Linked DNA regions of Coturnix japonica. The protein of the gene in region 1 binds, or shares a complex with, the protein of each later gene. Links are inferred from orthologs where the notes say so. Each region holds a gene or a part of one and is shown on either strand. Other genes may lie near its edges.

Evidence for each region.
Region 2: the proteins of MEP1A (region 1) and FETUB are in contact, whole or in part, in a cryo-EM structure (PDB 7UAI), measured with the Homo sapiens proteins. The link is inferred for Coturnix japonica from reciprocal best matches to the Homo sapiens genes MEP1A and FETUB. Residues at the interface, in NP_005579.2 of Homo sapiens: Asp126, Gly127, Cys128, Trp129, Ser130, Glu131, Val132, Gln145, Gly146, Cys147, Tyr149, Ile152, His155, Glu156, His159, Tyr164, His165, Gln167, Ser168, Leu184, Gly186, Tyr187, His189, Asn190, Asp192, Tyr194, Tyr214, Gln215, Phe217, Ser218; in NP_001362516.1 of Homo sapiens: Phe109, Phe110, Lys144, Lys145, Tyr148, Met149, Thr150, Cys151, Pro152, Asp153, Cys154, Pro155, Ser156, Ser157, Ile158, Ser196, Ser197, Gln198, Trp199, Val200, Val201, Gly202, Tyr205, Phe206, Thr242, His245, Trp246, Phe249, Val250, Ser251.

Annotation. Positions count from the first base shown.
Region 1 is NC_029518.1:100,153,620-100,157,693, reverse strand, and holds the start of MEP1A (meprin A subunit alpha), read right to left. Parts: upstream 2,801-4,074; 5' UTR 2,257-2,800; coding exon 2,173-2,256; intron 2,088-2,172; coding exon 2,063-2,087; intron 1,965-2,062; coding exon 1,911-1,964; intron 769-1,910; coding exon 728-768; intron 620-727; coding exon 541-619; intron 231-540; coding exon 113-230; intron 1-112.
Region 2 is NC_029524.1:14,158,201-14,162,240, reverse strand, and holds the start of FETUB (fetuin-B), read right to left. Parts: upstream 2,801-4,040; 5' UTR 2,689-2,800; coding exon 2,467-2,688; intron 447-2,466; coding exon 336-446; intron 1-335. UniProt on the Homo sapiens protein: Protease inhibitor required for egg fertilization.

The sequences.
Region 1 (4,074 bases):
TGCTTTCTTGGTGGCCTCTTTCACTACAACAACCAGCTCACACAGAACTGGATGAAATGAATTCCCGTTGGTTCTGCACAGAAGAAATAAACAGAAGTTGATGTTCCCCTACCCGCTTTCTTTTCTGAAGAATATGTAGCTTGCTTCTCCTTCATACGGCTTGAAATCCACACAGGACTTAAGGCGGAACATTTCAAATGCCTGGAGAATGACTCCTTTGGCGTTCAGATCTGGAGAACAAACATGAACAGAGCATCGTTAGCACGCAGGGGAGGTTCTCCACAGAGAGGTAATGGACACAGGTTTATGTATGGGACTGGAAGGAAAATGAATGGAAACAGAACTGATTGAATGTGATGAAGCTATGTTTTGTTATGATAGCTGTAGGAGAAAAAAAGGGTTTGATGCAAAGGAGCAATCTGGTTAATAGTGGATATCAATGGGACAGAACCAGCTCTGAACAAAGCACATTTTTTTACTGCACTGATTCCAGTGCAAACAAATACTGGAGTTAGAATATGAATAAAGTACCAGTATTACCTAAGTCATCACCCAGGATATAGGGAACGGGGAACTTCCACCTGTAGGTGTCGTTCCTTAAGGCATTTCGCTGGTTGACCTGGAAAGAGAATGGACAGCTGGTGATGCAGGTGATACAGATGGGCTGGTGGGTACCAGAAGTCCAATTGGGACAAATGAGAGCAATAAGGTTTTTGTAATTACTTACGGGAAGCAAGATATCACCCTGAAAGAGGTCCAATCCAGCAGCTGAAAAGCAATTTATTGAAAGGTAATGTAAATGGAATATCAAATAATCATTTTAACTCAAAAGCCACATTTGAGCATACTCATCCAAAGACACGTCCTCATGCATTTACAGGAAATCAAAGTCTATCCCCGGCTTCTACTCAGTATTTAATACTAAGCACTTTCTGTGGCAGAAATCTGGTGACAGCCTTTATCCAGATCATAGAATCCCAGAATCACAGCATGGTTGGGCTGGAAGGGACCCCAAGGATCACGAAGCTCCAACCCCCCACCACTGGCAGGGCCACCAACCTCCACATTGATACCAGCCCAGGCTGCCCAGGGCCCCATCCAACCTGGCCTTGAACACCTCCAGGGATGGACGGGGCATCCACAGCCTCTCTGGGCAGCTGTTCCAGCACCTCACTGCTCTCACAGTAAAGAACTTCCCCTGACATCCAACCTCAGTCTTCCCTCCTTCAACTCCAATCCATTTCCCCTTGTCCTGCCATTATCTGCCCTTTCACAGAGCTGACTCCCCTCCTGTCTGTAGGCTCCCTTCAGGTCCTGGCAGGCTGCACTGAGCTCACCCCGCAGCAAGTTTGTAAAGCTTCATACATATCATAAACGTATGGAAGGACTCCAGAGCCCTTAAACTGATAAAGGGTGATACTGTCTTTACACCAGGAGCCCATCCAAACAAGAGAAGCAAAAGACATCTGCATGCTTTGCTTACAGAGGGTCGCAGAATGTCTAGACAATAATTTTATACAGGAGGGACCTGAGACATCAGCATTTTGCTTGGTGTAGAGCAGAGTAGACTGGAGAAGAATGGAGTAGAGTAGAACAGCTCAGTTGGAGGGGACCTACAGTGATCATCCACTCCAACTGCCTCACCACGTCATGGCCAACTAAAACTTCAGTCATTACTGTGGGCTTTATTCAAATGCCTCTGGAACATGGACAGGGATGGGCACCAACCACCTCTCCAGGAAGACTGTGCCACTGTTTGATCACACTCACAGCAAAGAAACTTTTCCCAGCACCTACTGTGAACCTCTCCTGGAGCATCTTTGTGCCATTCCTGTGCATCCTGATGTAGGATACCAGGGAGAAGGCACTGGCAGGTTCAGAACTGATGAAGAATTTAGCCATGAACTCACCTAAGTTTATTTCTGGAATGTCTTTGATTATCTCACCAGCATCACCTTCTCCAGCTGCAAGACAGACAGAACATCGTGTGCTCAGCTGTGGTGGAACACAGCAAGGCAAAACAAAATGCTTCAGAACTCAAAGCAGTTCACAGAGTGCTTACCAGGCACACTGGAGAGATGCTCAACCTGCAAGAGAATAACACAGAGCCAGCATAAGGTATGGGGCATTTCTGCATTGAGAGGAACCCATTGAAATCAGGTTTCTACTTACAGAGACTGGATTAGCACATGCATAACATGACAGGAGAGCCAGGAAGAGCAGGGAGCTGTGGGTGCCCATTTCTGCAGCAGACATGGAAGCTGGCTCCCCTCATCTCTGGCAATATATAGGGCACGCTGCTGAGCTTCCCACAGGCACCAGCCAACCAGCTGCCAGCTTTCCTCCTTGGTTGTTATCATAACTTCATATTGTCCCCCTCAATGGCAGGTGATGATATTGCTGCCTTACCCAAGTCCACTTTAGAGGAATGTTAGAGAGGAATGCGATCGCTCCCAGTTCCATGCAGCACAAGGCTCACGTGGGCTCTGTGCACCATCTCAGTAGGGCCCAAAGTTGCTGACTCCTTCCACCGTGTTTATTGTCTGTCAGCATTACGATCTCAGCTGCGCTGGATAAAAGCCACGTGCTCGAACAGAATTATTGAGTTTATAGCACTCTGGTGACATGATAATTTCAGCTGGCATTTCTCTCCATTAATAATTAACAGTATATCATAAAGATTAGAAATAAGAGAGATATGATTACAAATGCCCTGACAGCAGCTTCCCACGGCCGATGCACCCCAGGACACACAGCTCAGTGCACAGCACAGCCCTGCCCTCCAGAGACAGCCATGGCCATCAGAAACCAAGGTCCTCAGGGCTGCTCTCAGTCTGTTCTCAGCTGCCCAGAGAGGCTGTGGATGCCCCGTCCATCCCTGGAGCTGTTCAAGGCCAGGTTGGATGGGACCCTGGGCAGCCTGGGCTGGTATCAATGTGGAGGTTGGATGGGGCCCTGACTGCATCAGGGCAGTTGGAGCTTTATGATCCTTCCAGCCCGGGCCATTCTGTGATTCTATGATTCTCTCCTGACCTGCCCATCTCAGCCCCACTCTATATTCCATTTGTAATCAGTTTCATGAGGGTGACATGAAGGGCTTTGTGTAACAGCTCACCACATCTCTACGGGCACTTTCCATCCGCGTGGCAGTGGGGTCTCCCCAGGCCCTATGGCTGCACCCATGGGTGCACTGTTTGCTGTCTGCCTGAAGCCAAGTGCTGAGCAGCCAAGGCATCAGCTCCTGCACCACGTGCTCTGTCATGCAACCAGAGCCTCGGGGTCAGCAAATCCTGAAAACCACAAGAGAACGGCCAACAAAGCAACAGGCAAAGCTGTTCCTCTAAAAGCAGGAGAGCTCTTTTTCCTCACCAACAAGCAATCCTGCTCTTTGTTTTCCTCCCTGCTTGGTGGATCTTCCACGTGTCGGCTTTTGCCACTCATTGGGTGCCCCCCACCCACGTCAGTACGGACCCCTGCAGGATGAGAGCAGCAAATCGCCCTCTCCCCACTGCCAGGTGCTGCTCCCCACACTGCCCACACTGCCAGCCCACCTGCTGCTCCTCCCTTGGAGCATCCCGCTCAAGTGACTTCCTCTTCTGTTTGGGTGAAAGTCAGCTTCCTATTTGGACAGCCCTGGACTGGGTAATTCTAATAACCTATTTATCTCTGCACATCTTCCTTTTCACCTCTCTAAAAAGCATGGTGAAGTCTAACGGCCGTCAAAAAAGCACAGTTTCCCACCAAAGCATGGCCTCCATCTGTCTGCCCAACGTGGCCCCATTCAGCAGCACTTGTCTGCTTTGCACCATTCCATGGACGCTGATGGACTCTAAGAGCAGCAGGCCAAGAAGGTGACGCTCGAAGCTGCCAGGAATGGCGTAATGTATTTTATGCCTGTCAGTATCAAGTCAGATCTTCCATGTTAACCCCATCCCAGAATGCTTCCATGCTGGGTTCAGGAACATTCAGGAAATACGTGCTTAATACAAATGATAACAGAGAGTTTCACATGAATGTGGAGCATAAGAGCTATTTTTTTCTTTGAGGACTCAGCACGATGAGTTTCCATCATTC
Region 2 (4,040 bases), on another chromosome or scaffold:
TATCTTGCTGGGCTTTTATTCTCTTTCTGACAGTCTATCTTTAAAACAAACTCATACAGGGCTAAATAGTGCCCTAGCACAGCTGTTTAGCTCTATCTGCTTATTAGTTCTGATCAAAAATTTTCCTTCAATTTTCATTTTATGAAATAAATCTTCCCACTCTATAAACTGACTAGAAAGTACAGCGAAGAACCTGTGAACCTTAAAATGAGGTTGATTTTTTCTTATTAAGACTCTGCTGTCTACTCAGAATGCACGTGTAGGGATTTTGTTGTCTTTAGTAGTACCTGAGTAACCCTCATGCCTGAGATTAAATATGAAAACAAAATCCTTACAGTTTTATGAGCCGGTCTGACCCTGCAGTTCTTCCACGGCCGCTTGCTGAGTACGTGGCATTCGGTATCCACTACATCCAAGATGAGATAGAAGACAGAACCAGGGATCTCCTGAGCACAAGAAGAGAACAGGTCTTATTGTAGCTGTGTACGGAACACAATAAAAAGCTTACATGTGTTAACTGCACGTTTAGACTGAGATTATGTCTTATTGAAGAGGGAGATAAAACTAAATGAATTGATTTCACTGGTTTATGGGGCAAGAATCTTGTAGATGTCTGATGCCAATGTCTGTACCATTTTGATACGGTATTTCCTGTTTCCTGTGTCTCTCTTGTACAATATCAGCTCTGCAACTCTGCTTATTATGAGCTTATTATAAAATCTACACATCTTTTTGTCTTCGTGCTTCGGTATGCATCATTCTCCTCTGGGGAAAGGATAATTTGGGGTTTATTCAGAGCTCAGCAGATCTCTGAAGGTTTCATTATCCTTCTTTTAATTTTCATAAAAAGACCACTATGCAAGGGCCTTTGATATCTGCTTGGTATTGAATAAAGGCTTGTATCTTTTCTGCTCCAACAAAGAGATCCCCCCCTCAATGCTGCTGATGCGAGTAGTGCTGTGCCACGTGTGCTGGAAAGCTTGGGAGCCAAAAGAGATTTGGCAGGGACACAGAATTGATTGCCTCTGTGGCAGGATGTTCTGGTGCAAGGGGAAGAAATGAAGTATTTTGGCATGATTTGTAATTTTGGTTAAGTGGCTGTTATTGAAGCTAATCATGAGTATCGTATATGAAAGAAGGCTCTGTCCTACTTGCGTGTAAGTTAATAGCAGATGGCTTATTAGTTTCAATTAGAGCAAAACTGAGCCACAAGTTGCTTAAGGGCAGATTAGAATTTGAAGTCATTTTGAAAATGTTTTTATCGTAAGTACTGACTAAAAAAGTGGGAGGAAGGAACTTGGACTGATTAAATACACGTATATATTTCTTGAAATTTGTGAGGTGCATTGAAGGTTATATAATATTTTTACTGTCGATGATTATCCCTGACATAGCCAACTGCTTATTATGTGCTCTGTTCCAGCAGCAGCAAGATTGTGACAAAGGGCTTAGATTGCCTAGTGTGTTATTACAGTGTCTCAGAACACCTCACTTGTAGGATAAGCTTATTAGATGCTTACACAAAATAATAGCAGTAAATCAAACTCACAAAGAAACAAAGAACAAACTGTGCCCTAATGAAATAAGATTCTGGGGAATTAAATGGCAGATCAAATCCCGAACAAGGCCCAGAATCCCTTTGAGCTGAGCGGGACTCAGTATGGGTGAAGGGAGAAGCAAGGAGATGAATAGAGAGGTTTAGAGCTGCACACAGCTTTGGTGATAGGACTGGGCCAGCACCAGCTCCACAACCAGCAGTGTGGGCTCTGGACCAACCCACAGGTGTCCTATGTGGAAACAGCTCTCAGAAGAGCTGACTCAGTGCTGTGTGCGTTTGGGCCTGGTGCAGTCATTTAAGGCTATCCCTTGCTAATGCCAGTAGCTTCATCTGTCATTACACAAAATGAACTAAGCATGCATAGGGAAATAAAACATTTGAGGATACGAAAGTGATATTCCACACCTATTCCCTGTGTAATTTTTGCACTTGAACTGTTATTGGTTTTCTTCTGGAGAATGACTCATCATGTAGAGATGTGTAAAGGAATTCCCTGGTCCCAAGCTGGTTGTGTTTCCACCTGTTAGCACTCACATCTTTTGTGCAAAATATGTGGTGGCTTATTAGCTCTTGCACTCCAACAGCTCAAGGCAGTGGGGGGAAGGTGTAATATGAAATTAAATCCAAGGAGTGGTGTTTCATATCAAATCGGAACTGATGCCTGGAGCTATTCCAGGGGCAGGCAGCAGAGAATCATGCCTGAGCTTTGCTCTCTAATTGCCCACAGTGGTGATGAAACTGTTTCTATTCATCTGTGCGTAAAGGTGACATGGCCCCTGCAGTCCTGTGAATGGAGGTTTACATTTGTCTCAGAGTATTTTGCAGTTCAAATAACTATTGCTGGGGAATACTGATAGACACGGGGCTCTTCGTGAGAGAAACAGATGTATAACAAGCAGGTAACTTACCTGAGGATGTTCTCTGACACTGAAAATGCGATAGAGGCTGAGGATGTAGCCCTCTGTTCGGTCAGCATTGATCTGGTCAAGAGCCAGGTCTGCAGCCTCCTCCACTGCAGCGTCATGGCAGGAGGGGGAGAGCAGCACGCTTGGCAGCTCTCTGGCAGGAGCAGAGGCAGCCCAGGAGCAAAGTGCCTGCGTGCCAAAGAGCACTGAAATAAGTAAAAGCATTCTGCTTAGAAAAAGCCGTGCCGCAGATCAGAATGGGAGGCTGGTACGCAGGAGCTGAGAACTGCGTGAAATAGCAGGCTTTGTAATGGAACCGTGTGTTTATAAACTTGTGTCCTCTCTTTATTACGTACTGCACATCACCTTTAAACCTATAGCTACAATTGCAAACACTAAGTCAATGATTACAAGGTTTTATGCAAGCCTTGTGGCTCCCACTGAGAGCAGAGAGCACTTTTTCCTTCTGCCTTTACAGCTCCAGTTCAGATGTGGTTGGGCAGATCACATAACTTTGACCTCATCAGAAGGCACAAGAATATACCCAGAAAGCTGCTTTCTTAAGGAACCAGCAGTGCTCAAATAAACCTGTGCGCAGGACAGTTCTGGCTCCAGCTCTGTTCTGTCAGCGATCCAGGTTTTCTCCCATGTAAAACAATGACCAAGGTCTCACTGGTTTGAGTGGAAGCAGGGTAAGAGTGGAGAGGGTGATGGATTTCACACCTGGCATTTCTGTTTGTTAAATTCTAATTGTAAACAAACATACCAACTCTTCAAGTATGTTGTCAACTTGGAACTTTGCAGGGACAGAACGGTCAGTCTGGATTCATTCTCTGAGTATTTCTACTCACTTGGCTACCTGCAAATTATTGTTGACCCTTAGCCACGGCCAAGCAAGCAAAATTCAATCCATGTCCAGGCAAGAGGCCTGTGAACAAGTGGCCCGCTCAAGCCATTACATACTTCTGTACATACATACAACCTGATAGTGTAAAAAGATGTAACAGTTTCATCATGGTGTCTGCTTTTAACCAGGAGTTTCTGTTGTCTTCATTTGGGACTTAGCAATCGCTGTAATTGCGTATAGTAGCAGAGATGTGGTAAGCTGAAATTTGTTCTTGCCCCAAAGGCGTCACTTCTTTTAGTGGAGTGCTTCAAAATGAGCTGTTGTGAAAGGCTGGGGGAAACAGACAGTAAATGAAGCAGGGCTGCCAAAACGTTACTTGGTGGATGCTCCATTACAGAATTTGTTCCCTTGCAATGCCTTGACTCCAGCCCACTTATCTTTTGTTGCCTGGATCTCTCAATTTATTGATGCTTACCAGGTATTTGATCCACAACTCTGATTTCCCTGAACCTTTCCTGTTTCATTCCATCTTCTCCTGCCATCTGACTTTGTTCTTACTGCCACATTGAGCAGAACACTTTCTGAACTTGCCATCCTTCCACATTCCTTCTGATTCCAAATAGCAGGTGCTGTTCTCTTTTTATCTCCTCTAACCTTAACTTCTGGCTGCATCTGGTTTCAGCTCCTGCCTGGCATTGCCTAGCTTTGTAATCCTGTGGGTTTAGAGGCA